Macaca mulatta: one gene and its partner. The protein of the gene in region 1 purifies or fractionates together with the protein of each later gene. This does not show direct contact. Links are inferred from orthologs where the notes say so. Each region holds a gene or a part of one and is shown in the gene's direction. Other genes may lie near its edges.

What was found.
Region 2: the proteins of HNRNPA3 (region 1) and HNRNPH1 fractionate together in Homo sapiens (co-fractionation; 3 studies listed by BioGRID and IntAct, with this or other methods). This does not show direct contact. The link is inferred for Macaca mulatta from reciprocal best matches to the Homo sapiens genes HNRNPA3 and HNRNPH1.

The regions. Positions count from the first base shown.
Region 1 is NC_133417.1:82,126,718-82,133,604, forward strand, and holds the start of HNRNPA3 (heterogeneous nuclear ribonucleoprotein A3), read left to right. Parts: upstream 1-2,673; 5' UTR 2,674-2,730; coding exon 2,731-2,802; intron 2,803-5,175; coding exon 5,176-5,298; intron 5,299-5,387; coding exon 5,388-5,534; intron 5,535-5,615; coding exon 5,616-5,826; intron 5,827-6,146; coding exon 6,147-6,236; intron 6,237-6,319; coding exon 6,320-6,415; intron 6,416-6,503; coding exon 6,504-6,584; intron 6,585-6,887. UniProt on the Homo sapiens protein: Plays a role in cytoplasmic trafficking of RNA. Binds to the cis-acting response element, A2RE. May be involved in pre-mRNA splicing.
Region 2 is NC_133411.1:188,581,030-188,587,711, reverse strand, and holds the start of HNRNPH1 (heterogeneous nuclear ribonucleoprotein H), read left to right. Parts: upstream 1-2,559; 5' UTR 2,560-2,961; intron 2,962-3,605; exon of another isoform or gene 3,606-4,001; intron 4,002-4,118; 5' UTR 4,119-4,149; coding exon 4,150-4,246; intron 4,247-5,860; coding exon 5,861-6,016; intron 6,017-6,222; coding exon 6,223-6,366; intron 6,367-6,682. UniProt on the Homo sapiens protein: This protein is a component of the heterogeneous nuclear ribonucleoprotein (hnRNP) complexes which provide the substrate for the processing events that pre-mRNAs undergo before becoming functional, translatable mRNAs in the cytoplasm.

The DNA.
Region 1 (6,887 bases):
CCACCCATCTAACCCTAGGACCCTCACTCCCTCCTCCCATCCTATACACTCCCTTTCTCATTTCAAAGAATCAGGGCTGCAAGTGTAGACCATTGCCAAGTTTCAAGTCTGTGCCCTACAGGGTCAAGGACTTTCGGAAAAGTGCTTTTTGTACCTGAGACACAACTGGACCTTAAGTTTATTTATTTATTTTTTGAGATGGAGTCACCCAGGCAGGAGTGCAATGGTGTGATCTCAGCTCACTGCAACCTCCGCTTCCCGGGTTCAAGCAATTCTCCAGTCTCCACGTCCAGAGTAGCTGGGACTACAGGCACCCACTACCACACCCGACCAATTCTGTATTTTAAGACGGGGTTTCACCATGTTGGCCAGGCTGGTCTCGAACTCCTGACCTCAGATGATCCACCCGCCTTGGCCTCCCAAAGTACTGGGATTACAGGCTTGAACCACTGCGCCCGGCCTTTGTTTTGGTGGGGGAGGGGGCGGAGTCTCGCTCTGTCACCCAGGCTGGAGTGCACTGGGCCAATTTCCGCTCACTGCAACCTCCGCCTTCTGAGTTCAAGTGATTCTCGTGCCACAGCCTCCCAAGCAGCTGGGATTACAGACGTGTGCCTCCATGCCCGGCTAACTTTTGTATTTTTTAAAAGTAGAGATGGTGTTTTACCATGTTGGCAAAGCTGATCTCAAACTCTCCACCTCAGGTGACCCGCCTGCCTCGGTCTACCAAAATCCTGGGATTACAGGTGTGAGCCATGGCGCCCAGCCAGAGCTTAAGTTTAGACAAAAGCATAAAAAATAACGTCTAAAAACAGCACACAGTCAGGATGAACAACAAATCTGGACCAATACAATGGGGAGGACAAAAAGATGTGAATAAATGGACTGACATTTCATGTTCCTGGAGAGAACTTAGTATCCCATCCCACATTGTTTCGCGATTTAACATTAACATTTATACAAAAGTTATTAATTAGAACAAAAGTTATTGATTAGAATTAACTTGATTAGAAAAACCTGGAAAAACATACCCTAAAGTGCAGCCAGGTGATCACTCTTCTTGATCACCTATGTAGTGTTTCATAGGGTACTCTGGTGTGAATACCACTTTCCAAAGGTCTTTCACTTTGCATTTTTCTTTGTATCCAGAATTGATAAAATTACCAGGACTATTTCACAGTAATCAGACTTAGAAAATCTTAACACTAACTAGACGCTAAGGCTATACATTCTTACAATGTCTCAAGTCTATTGCTGGCCATCAGGAGCACCTGGATACGCAGAATACGTGAAAGTTTGCGAAAAAGGAATCAAAGCAACAGGAGGAGTCTGGTTTGAACGGTTATTTCATCCAAATTACATTAAGGACTGCTAACTGGTTTCTGCCCCACAAAACTACCCTTTGTGCATGTTTCCAAACTATAACGCAGGTCCTCCTGGGGCAACGGTTAAATAAATTAACAAATTCTTAGACTTTGCGCTCCCTTTTCCAAACTCGAAGTCGACCACTCCCCATTTGTTAACAGAAACTTTTAATGTAACTGATTAGATTTCTAACCTTTCCTAGGGAGAACCAGTTCAATTCTAAAAGAGTTGGTCACATGGGTTGCTAAATTAAAATATAAAGCATTTTCTAACAGGGAAGGGAGGCTCGTCAATTGTGGTTATTTTTATCAGTAACTTTAAATATGGATTCATAGATTATCAATTTATGGCTGGCCTGGGTGTTAGAAGATGACCTAATCCCATCCCCCTTTTCATGTAAAAAACTGAAACTACAGCTCTGTGAAGTCAAATGATTTAAAATCATCTGACTAGGCCGAGAAAGGATTAGATCTCTAGAGCATTACGGTAACAATCTTTCGCAAACTGGTAGCATTATCTGGCGACCCTGCTTTTCTGAAAATCTTGTCAATTATTCAGTTCCTTAAATTCCGTCAGCTACAACAGATGCATCAGCTCTTTCCACACTAACTTGAAAGAAGCACATTAGAAAATAGTCCTGACTTGTTTCTTGAGATCAGTAACTAATGAACTGACCTCCACCAGTCCTGCCTCAGGTCGTTAATGGTAAAAATTCTGTATGTCGGCCGCGTTTTGAGGCCTGCCCAGGGTGCCTGTGATTCCTACACGTCGGAGCCGCAGGGATTTTCAGTACATGCCCTCAGGTGGGCGCCGCAGTCACAGACACTGGTCCCTGGCATTTGGAAACAGGATAGGTGGTCCGAAGGGCTAAGGGGTTTTACCTGCAACCTTTAAATTACAAGCAAGAAAAACGTAGGTTTTATTTCGGGCACAGGAATGGAATGAATTCGGAAAAGGAAAACTAGAGGCCTGCGGGGGAAGGAGGCACAAGCGCGAGAAGAAAAGGAAAGGCCTTTCTCTCTGGTGACGCGCGATCACGAGGCGTTTTCTCTACGTGGACGCTCACCATTGGCGGAGACCGAACTGACGTCCCGGAACTCGTCCGGACGCGAACGGCGCCAAGGCGGTCCTGCCCTGAAAGTCGGCGAGGCGCGCGCGCTCCCGCGGCACGCCGCGCCTCCGCCCTCCGCCCGCCAACCCGCTGGTCCAGTCGTTCTTCGCGCCCGCTTGGCTCCGCCCCCTTCCCAGCTCGCTCCTCCCCCACCAGACTGGCGGCGCGCGGAAAACGCGTCACGTGACGACTGGCCCCGCCTCTTCCTCTCGGTCCCATATTGAACTCGAGTTGGAAGAGGCGAGTCCGGTCTCAAAATGGAGGTAAAACCGCCGCCCGGTCGCCCCCAGCCCGACTCCGGCCGTCGCCGTCGCCGCCGGGGGGAGGAGGTATTAGGGGGAGAGCGGGGGGTTGGTGGGGAATGGCCGGCGTGGGGGGCCTGGTTCGGTGGGAGCGGGGAGGCCGGGTGAACCGGGGCGGCCGTCCCGCGCTCTTGCGTTGAGACGGGCGGTGGGAGGGGGAGGGGAGCGGGCCTTGGAGACCTCCTCGGGGCCCCTCACCCGCCTCGCCTTCATCTTCGGCTACACAGGCGGCCCCTTGGAGGCGCGGCGTGGTCGGGGAGGTCCCGGGAGGGAAGCCGGCCTGCCGGTTGCGCGGCCTCAGAAGCGAGGCCGAGGGCGGCATGGCGGGCCCCGGCGGGAGCGGTTGGGAAGAGGTTGTGGGGGAGGGGAAGGGACGAGCAGGCACATCCGGGCGAGCGAGCAGGCGGGCGGCGGCCACATTGACATTGATCCGCCGCCGTGTTACGAAATGGCGCATTGGCCCGCAATGGCCGCCGCCTCGCTCTGCCGCCGGGAAAGAGAGCCTGGGATTGGAGAGAAGAGGGCGGAGGCGGCCCGGCAGAAAATGCCGCAAATGGCCTCGAAGCACGAGAAGGTAGTGCTTTCGCTGAAGTTCGGCGGACGCTTTTCTGGGCATTTTACCGGTTCTCTCCGCGAGGAGAAGTCGATAATTGGCCTGTTCTTTTCTTCGCAGCATCCTGTTGGAAATATGAGATTGTTAAAAACTTTGCTGCTTTAGAATACTTCCTGTTTTTGCTGAAGTAGTTACATTACACTTCTCAAACCGCCATGTGGGCGAAGAACTTAGTATTTGAGAACTTGAGTGCAGATGTGAAAACCCAGCCAGCTTTTTACCGACCCCGGCCGTTGGGGAGGGTGGGTGGAGAAGAATTTGAGTGTAGATGTTAAGGAAGAATTTTAAAATGTTTTTTATCTTCATGTTTTCCCATTCTTTGAGTCGGCTCTGCTTGTAGTTTCCTGGAATTTTATTTAGAGGACTGCAACCAAAGTTGAAATTTTCACTTGTTTGCAGTACATTTAATGTGGATCCTAAATATTTTTGTCGATTTCGTTATTGTCAATCGAATACATTTATCCAAGACTTGAAAAGATGAGACTACGTGAATTAATGCTTTAGGCTCTTAACATTTTTTTCTAGCATGTGACAATCTTCACATTAAATGCCTTAACATCTCTACCTCTAGAAGACACTTGAAGACATGAGAATGTAAATGTGAGCCCCCTTATTTAAGGACTTCGGGTGAAGGAAACCTTCATGCATTAAATAACAGTTCATGCAATGTGTTAAGAAGTCTGACTGAAGTATAAAACAATTTCAAGACATCCTAATTCTTAAAAATCTCAATTTTTGTTTTGCTGTGCTCCGTTCTTATGGTCAGACAATACATACCATTCCTAATGTAAGTTCAACTTGGCAGTTTGTTGTGACTCTTAAAATTGAGTCATAAAATGAAGATTTTTGCAGCATATAACAAACATGGGTTATAGAAAGCTATTTGGTCGGCTTTTTTTTTTTCCTCTTAGTTTTTTTGGGAGATGCTGGTTTGGCTTAGGAATGCCTATTTTAAATTAATTTGCTTGAAAGCAGTGAGTTTCTGTAAGTTTGACATTTAGAACTTTTAGATTGTTCATCACAGTTTGGAGTTTAAAATTAAAAGCATGTTGGGATGTAGACTGAGAAGAGTTGAAGTGGGATAGATGCAACACTGCTTCTCCAGCAGTTTAGTGCCTTAGAAAATGACTTCTCATTAGCAACTTCTAAAGTAAAGGTTTTCAGACAATTGCAGCTTTTAAAAAATGAAGGGTTTTTAGATTCTGGATTTGTCTTGGATTTCAGTTTAGTTGAAGTGATGTTGGCATTTGAAAGGCTGGTTATAGGTTTCCTTGACAGAGTTAGCCCTTTTAACAGTTGAAGTCTGTATTTCTGGTCAAAGTTTTTGTTGTTTATTTTTTTGTTGTTGTTTTGTTTTTGTTGAGACGGAGTATCGCTCCTATCGCCCAGGCTGGAGTGTAATGACACGATCTTGGCTCACTGCATCCTCCGCCTCCTGGCTTCAAGCGATTCTCCTGCCTCAGCTTCCCGAGTAGCTGGGATTACTGACGCCTGCCACCGCGCCCAGCTAGTTTTTGTGTTTTTAGTAGAGATGAGGTTTCGCCATGTTGGCCAGGCTGGTCTTGAACTCCTGATCTCAGGTGATCCACCTGCCTCGGCCTCCCAACGTGTTGGGATTACAGGCATGAGCCACCGCGCCCAGTGTCTGGTCAGAGTTAACTGGACAAAGTGTTAATTGTCACAGGAATTTGATGTTGATTTTATTACTTACAGTACATTAAAGGCTCTTCGTGCATCTTAATCCATCTACTGTAAGATAATTTAAGAGTATTGGTTCTTTCTCTCAGGGCCATGATCCAAAGGAACCAGAGCAGTTGAGAAAACTGTTTATTGGTGGTCTGAGCTTTGAAACTACAGATGATAGTTTAAGAGAACATTTTGAGAAATGGGGCACACTCACAGATTGTGTGGTAAGTTACACTAAGGGAATAGAAGGGTTCTAAGTGTTGAAGAGAATCCGTGGAGATGTTTTCAACGTTGTAAAACTTTTATTTTGTAGGTAATGAGAGACCCCCAAACAAAACGTTCCAGGGGCTTTGGTTTTGTGACTTATTCTTGTGTTGAAGAGGTGGATGCAGCAATGTGTGCTCGACCACACAAGGTTGATGGGCGTGTAGTGGAACCAAAGAGAGCTGTTTCTAGAGAGGTATTTTAATAATATATTGTGTAATATATGAAATTGTTGTGAAAGTTTGTTTCTTGACTTAATTTATTACTTTATTTATAGGATTCTGTAAAGCCTGGTGCCCATCTAACAGTGAAGAAAATTTTTGTTGGTGGTATTAAAGAAGATACAGAAGAATATAATTTGAGAGACTACTTTGAAAAGTATGGCAAAATTGAAACCATAGAAGTTATGGAAGACAGGCAGAGTGGAAAAAAGAGAGGATTTGCTTTTGTAACTTTTGATGATCATGATACAGTTGATAAAATTGTTGGTAAGTAACAATTTATGGTAACTCGAATGAGAAAGTAGACGTGGGTTTTCTGTCTTGAACTAAATTTGCTAAACTGCTTGTAATTTTCTGTTGCGTGTAATGGCATTTATAGTGTATAGTCAGTTTTTATAGTGTCTATACCTGTGTAATCAGTATCCAGATCAAGAAATAAACATTAACATCTCAGAATGCTCCTTCATTCCCAGAGTAACTACCTGATTATGTCTTAATGGGTTACATAATGACAGAGGGTATCTCGTATATGTGCTTTTCCAAACATAAAATAACTTTCTGTTTTGTTTGATTAAAAAAAAATTTAGTTCAGAAATACCACACTATTAATGGGCATAATTGTGAAGTGAAAAAGGCCCTTTCTAAACAAGAGATGCAGTCTGCTGGATCACAGAGAGGTGAGTAGGACCATACACATGTACACAGTGGATGTGAGTCATGTTTGTAAGGTTCTTAAAAATCTCCCTTGCCTGTGTTAAAGGTCGTGGAGGTGGATCTGGCAATTTTATGGGTCGTGGAGGAAACTTTGGAGGTGGTGGAGGTAATTTTGGCCGTGGTGGAAACTTTGGTGGAAGAGGTAGGCTGTTTATCTTCTGAGTACATGCACACCTAACATTTCAGTAAGTTGAATATATGATTTTAATTCATTTCTTGTTTTTCCTCAGGAGGCTATGGTGGTGGAGGTGGTGGTAGCAGAGGTAGTTATGGAGGAGGTGATGGTGGATATAATGGATTTGGAGGTGATGGTACGTGGCTTATTTTCGATTGATATTTTAACTTCCTGAAAATTACTACACTTTTCTAATTTTAGTCAAAGCTTGAATGGCTTAATGGTTAAGGTGTATTTCCAAACTAATGCCATAGAAGAGCAGGAACCCTTTTTCCCCTAAAGATACATCAGCTGCTCTTTTTCAGCAAGTAGTAGGGGTTGAGCCAGATTGTTTTATTAAGTCTGAGACTGTATTTTTCTTAGTGAAATTTTATAAAAGGAAAACTGATTTTTTTTTTTTAACTATCACAAGATGGTTAAACACTTATTTTCATTCTTA
Region 2 (6,682 bases), on another chromosome or scaffold:
AAATTGCTTGAACCCAGGAGGTGGAAGTTGCAGTGAGCCGAGATCACATACCTGCACTCCAACCTGAGTGACAAAGTGAGATCCTGTCTTAAAAAAAAAAAAGCAATCACAAATCGGGGCCGAGCATCATGGCTCACATGTAGAATAATTCCAGTGCTTTGAGAGGCCAAGGTGAGAGAATTGCTTGACGCCAGGAATTCAAGACTAGCCTGGGCAACATAGTGAGACCCGCATCACCACAAAACAATACAAACAATTAGTCAGGCCTGGTTGAAAGTGCCTGTAGCCCTAGCTACTCAGGAGGCTGAGTGTGGAGGATGGCTTGAGCCTAGGAGTTCAAGGCTGCAGTGAGCTATGATTGTGTCACGGCACAGAACAAGACATTGTCTGTAAAACAAACAAAAAATACCACCACAAAACCACAAAAATAATTAAAAGGTAGGCAAACTGAGAAGAATGTTTGGGGCAACTATCCTAAGGGCTAACAGCCTTAACAAAGAGCTCTGTAAACTATAAGAAGTGTACCAAGACATAAAGACCACTGAGGCAAGATGGTGAATTTTTTTGAGATGGAGTCTTGCTCTGTGGCCCAGGCTGGAGTGCAGTGGTACAATCTCTGCTCACTCCAACCTCCACCTCCCAGGTTCAAGTGAGTCTCCTGCCTCAGCCTCCTGAGTAGCTGGGATTACACGCGCCGCCACCACACCCGGCTACGTTTTGTATTTTTAGTAGAAAGGGGGTTTCACCATGTTGGTCAGGCTGGTCTCGAACTCCTGACCTCGTGATCCACCGGCCTTGGCCTCCCAAAGTGGTGGGATTACAGGCATGAGCCACCTCGCCTGGGCTGATGATGAACTTTTTATTTTAAAAAACCTTTGGCTGAGCGTGGTGGCTCATGCATGTAATCTCAGTACTTTGGGAGGCCGAGGCAGGCAGGTCACTTAAGGTCAGGAGTTCCAGACCAGCCTGGCCAACGTGGCAAAACCCCATCTCAACTAAAAATTAAAAAAAAGTAGGTGTGGTGGCACACACCTGTAATCCCTTTAGACTTGGGAAGCTGAGGCACGAGAATTCCTTGAACCTGGAAGGCAGAGGGTGCAGCGAGCCGAGATTGCACCACTGTACTCCAGCCTGGGTGACAGAGTGAGACTGTCTCAAAAACAAAAGCAAACAAAAAAACCTTCTTTCATTGCCAGACATGGTGGCTCATACCTGTAATCCCAGCACTTTCTCTGGGCAGCTGAGGTGGGATGACTCCTTGAGTCCAGGAATTCAAGACCAGCTTGGGCAACAAAATGAGACCCCATTGCTACAAAAAGAAAAATAAAAAAGTTATCTGAGCAAGGTGGCACATGCCTGTGGTCCTACCTACTCAGGAGGTTGAGGCAGGAGGATTGTTTGAGCCCAGGAGGTAGAGGCTGTAGTGAGCCATGTTTGCACCACTGCACTCCAGCCTGGGTGACAGTGAGGCCGTTTCTCAAAAATAAATAAATAATAAATAAAAAATAAATATTTAAAAACCTTGTTTTAATATAAGTTGGACAATTTATATATAAGAGCATTGGCTATAAATGTATGAAATTTATTCTACCTCACTATTATTCTTTTTTTTTTTGAGATGGAGTTTCGCTCTTGTTGCCCAGGCTGGAGTGCAATGGCATGATCTCAGCTGACTGCAACCGCTGCCTACTGGGTTTAAGCAATTCTCCTGCCTCAGTCTCTCCAAGTGGTTGGGATTACATGTATATGCCACCATGTCTGGCTAATATTTTTTTTTTTTTTGAGAGGGAGTCTTTCTCTGTTGCCCAGGCTGGAGGACAGTGGTGTGATCTCAGCTCACTGCTTCCTCTGCCTCCTGGGTTCAGGTGATTCTCCTGCTTCAGCCTCCAGAGTAGCTGGGATTACAGGCGTGCGCCACCATGCCCAGCTAATTTTTGTATCTTTAGTAGAGATGGTGTTTCACCATGTTGGCCAAGTTGGTCTCAAACTCCTGACCTCAAGTGACCTGCCTGCCTCGGCCTCCCAAAGTGCTGGTATTAGAGGCGTGAACCACCGCACCTGGCCAGAGTCTCTCTTCTTGATTACCTCAGCCAAAGTGTTTTCTGAAATGGTACCACAGATATGTGCTTCCAGTTCCGTTTGTAGTAGAGGGCATGGCATGTACCGTCATTCACCCTGCCTGCTCCATCTGCATCCCCCTCACATCCAGCAAGTTTTCCTTTGCATAGGGCTTATTGCTCCCCTGCTGATCACCTGCCAAAGCCTTCTCTCGGAGTTAACATCCTTGCCAAGGCCTAAGTGGCTTTTGAAGATCAGGCCCTGCTTAGCTCTGGGCTCCCGTCTTTCTTTTGATGTCCTCTCTACTTTTCTCAAACCTGTCAAAACTGGATTCGGACTCTGTGGCCCTGGGGTTGGAAACATGCTTCGTCTGCATCTTCCCAGGGTGGCACTTAGGCCTGCACTAGCTAAGGTAGCCCTGCGGCAAGGTCCAACCCTGCCTTATTGTTAATTTGTTTATTGTCTGTGTCCACTAGAGCTGGGGTGAGGAGGGCAGCCAGCTCAGACCTGGGGAGGCCTGGGAGGCTACGGCATCTTCGGTGTTGGGCAGTGCTGTTAGAAACCACGAACATTACTCATCTGGCAGCATGTGTGCACATGGGGTGAGCCGGGGGTCTCCTCGAATGCGGCGTCTACGCCCGGGGATTGGACGCACTGTTACCGATTCTGTCCTGGGAGATTCAGCGGTAACCTACCGGGCAGAGGCCGGCACGCACCCGTGGAGAAGCCCGCGCTCGCGATTCCTCCTCGTGCCAGGGCCCCAGGGCACGGAAGGCCCACCGACCGTGAGGCGGGTCAAGGGGTACACAGGGTGCGAGTTCGTTAGGCAAAAGCTGGGTACAGGCGCGAGCCACAGGCACGGGAACCTCGCGCCGACCGGGGCCCTAGGCCCGACGACCGCAGGTAAGGGGAAGTGGAGGCACACATGGCTGGGACGTGCCCCAGGCACCATCCGGGTGGCTTCGGGCGCGGGACGTCCGCAGCCCCGCAGCTCCCAGGACGCTCGACCATCTGCGGCTGATCAGCTTCGGCCGGTTTGGGGATAAAGGGGAGACAGGCGGCGCGGGGAGTGGGAACGCCTGAAGGCCGCGCCTCTCCTTTCAGGTCGGCCAGGAGCGCACCGGTAAGAGCCAGGGGGTAAGGGGTAGAAAGACGCCCACCTCTTCAACCCAGAGCTCGGGACTCCTATACAGTCCCATAGGGAACAGGCGGCCGCCATTCCCCTCCCCCACGCTGGCGGGTAAGGCTAGAGAACGGTTTCAAGGAAGACGCATGCGCATGAAACAATTATAAACCGCTAAGACTCCCAAGTTCAATATTCGCGGGAAGGCGCATGCGCAATAAAAAGCCCGGCGGGTTTATGGGTGGGGGTGCTGCGCCCAAATCCCAAGCGTGTAATAATCCGCCGGCGGACGGTGGGCTGGCTCTTGAAACTACGCATGCGCCAGAGCTCTTTGTGACGCAACGGGGCGGTGCGGGCAGCTGGCTGCGCGTGCGCAGAACTCGCACAAAGGGCCTTATTTAGGTTGCGCAGGCGCCCGCTGGCCATTTCGTCTTAGCCACGCAGAAGTCGGGTTTCTGGGTGAGTCTCGGTGGGTCCTCGCTTGCAGTTCACCGACCACCGTGGGCGCCGTTTTTGCGAGGATTGGTTGTCCTCATACCTCTGGGAGGGCCACGGGGACCTTGGCGAGCTGCGGGCTGCCATCGAGAGCCGCGAGTGGTTCGCTGAATGTCGGCACCGCAGCTGAGGCCTGCAGGCCGCGCCGACTCTATTGTGTGAGAAGTCGGAGGAGGCGGAGCGGAAGCGGCCGCCGCCATTTCCTTTCCTCCACGCTGGCTCGGCCCGGGCCCCCACGGTTCGGGGCGCCGACGGTTGCTGCTCAGAACAGCTTTTGGGGGTCCGGCCGCCGGACGAGGAGGTGTTGGGTATTGGAGCCGCCGGGGTGGGTGCATCCCCCCGGTTTTTGCTTGGTGGGGGGGCCGGTGCGGGCCCGGGGGCGCCTCGGAGGCGGAGGACAGCTTAATTGGCGCTCTCAGGTCTGGTCCTCCCCGCCTTGCAGTTTGTTTCGACGCCGGACCGCGTAAGAGACGATGATGTTGGGCACCGAAGGCGGAGAGGGATTCGTGGTGAAGGTCCGGGGCTTGCCGTGGTCTTGCTCGGCCGATGAAGTGCAGAGGTTTTTTTCTGGTGAGTTAGAACTAGGACGCGGGAGTTCGAGTTCGAGGCCGGGGCGGGCGGGCTGGCGGGCAGCCGGGCTGGGGCGGGGCGGGGCGGCGGGACCCGGGGCGCCCCCTGGCGAGGCGCGGGCGACTGCACTCACCGCCGTGTGGCTCGCGCCCGGCCGGCCGCGGTTACGCAATGGAATTTTCGAAAGCCCCGCCCGTCCTCCTGGCCCTGCGGGGGGAGTGCGGCAGATCTGGCAGACCCTTTGATTTCTTTACTACCTTTGAACACCAACTTTTCTTTTATGGATGTCGTTTTTCTTTTTCCTTTGTGTTGGGAGTCTCTGTCACCCAGGCTGGAGTGCAGTGGCGCGATCTCGGCTCACTGCAGCCCCCGCCTCCTGGGTTCAAGCGAGTCTCCTGCCTCAGTCTCCCGAGGAGCTGGGACTAGAGGCGCGCACCACCACGCCCGGCTAATTTTTGTTTTTTTAGTAGAGACGGGGTTTCACCATTTTGGCCAGGCTGGTCTCGAACCTCTGGACCTCAAGTGATCAGCCCATCTCGGTTTCCCAAAATGCTGGGATTACAGGCGTGAGCCACCGCGCCTGGCTCCGGTGTCTTTTTGCGAAAAGATGAATTGGCATAGGTGGGTTTCCTCCTCAATCTCGAGAAAATTGCCGAGTAATTAGACCAATAATAGTAATGTTTTTCAGTATCTTGAAGTGTAATCTCTTGTTTCCAGTTCTGGTGTTTCCTTGAAAAGGAGCATTCTTCGGAAAGTTAAAATGTCACGTCTTAATTTCAGTTTTCCTAATCAAGATTTGGTAATTGAAGAGTGTGTGCTCATCTAGTTCTTAATTTGGCTGACTATACAATTGAAAACACTGAAACCCAGGGAAGTGTTTTTGCAGTCCCTAGGTTTCCTGAATATTTTCTATCAGAATGTCCTTGTTCCCATTATTAGACTGGGAAAAATTAGACTGATAAAATTCTACTTGTATGAAATTGACAGCTTTTGGCAAGACGTTTGTAGTGTTGACTTACTATCTGAATTTAGCATTGGTAACGGAAAACGACCTGTAAAACAAGAACCAAGTACACTGGAAGCCACCTTGCAGGGGGCAACGCTGGGTTTGGCTTCAGCTGTGCAACTTGGAGCATTTTAGCTTGGTAACACTGATCCCCTTTCAGGTGAGTATTGGGCCTGTAATTTGGATTTGAATGAGAAACCGTAATGTGGCTGCTGGTAAGGTAAAACTTGACAAACGCGCCAGACCAGACCAAAGCAACTCGCAACGAAGTAGGTTTGCCATAAAGTCACAAAGTCCAGGCTTGATAATGTTCTGAGAAATTGATAAAAGATGTGTGATGTGGACATAAGTAGCAGGGACTTAAGAGAGAAATTCATTCTGAAACTGCTTTGAATATTGTATGTTGTTGATGGGTTGGAAATACATCACCTTGGGAATGAGGTTTTTTTTTTTTTATTGGAGTTCCAGGAGTTGGTAATACCATCATTATATGCAGGCTTCACAAGTTACGTAATTTGTAGTGGGGACACGGAATAGACATTTAATCTGTGTCACCCAGAGGTGGTTTTAGGTTTTAAATTCCGTATTAACGGTTGTTTTCTTTCCAGACTGCAAAATTCAAAATGGGGCTCAAGGTATTCGTTTCATCTACACCAGAGAAGGCAGACCAAGTGGCGAGGCTTTTGTTGAACTTGAATCAGAAGATGAAGTCAAATTGGCCCTGAAAAAAGACAGAGAAACTATGGGACACAGATATGTTGAAGGTTTGATTTACATTGCCCTAGTTACAGTAAATAAAGCATTAAACAATAGAGGTCTTACCCCTTCTGAATTTTAGGTATTTGACTGCATGGAAATGGTCATCTAAGGGAGTTTGTGGCAGCTCTTCCTAGCTTATCTAAAGACCCAGGAAGTCTGAACTTTGTTACCTAATTTTCCAAAAGTGACTAATTCTAAGCACCTCTTTCAGTATTCAAGTCAAACAACGTTGAAATGGATTGGGTGTTGAAGCATACTGGTCCAAATAGTCCTGACACGGCCAATGATGGCTTTGTACGGCTTAGAGGACTTCCCTTTGGATGTAGCAAGGAAGAAATTGTTCAGTTCTTCTCAGGTATGTAGTCCTGTTTGTTGATGAGCAGTGAGTTTTGGCTAGCTTCTGCAAGGTGATTTAATAGACCTTAAAGTTGAGTAGCTTAGGTATTTCAATAGGTTGTGTAAATTGCCAATGAATTAATGTTTTCTTCCTAGAGACCTTCAAATAATTTAAGCCCATCTTAAAGGTGGAAATGAAGTACTTCCAAAATGTTAACTTTGCCTATATTTAGTATTATAGTTCAGAGTAGATCTTTCATTGAGGATTGCCCTCAACAGCTTAACTGCTTTTCCTCACATTGGTGTCCAGCTAAGTACTTCACGTTAAAGGTAAG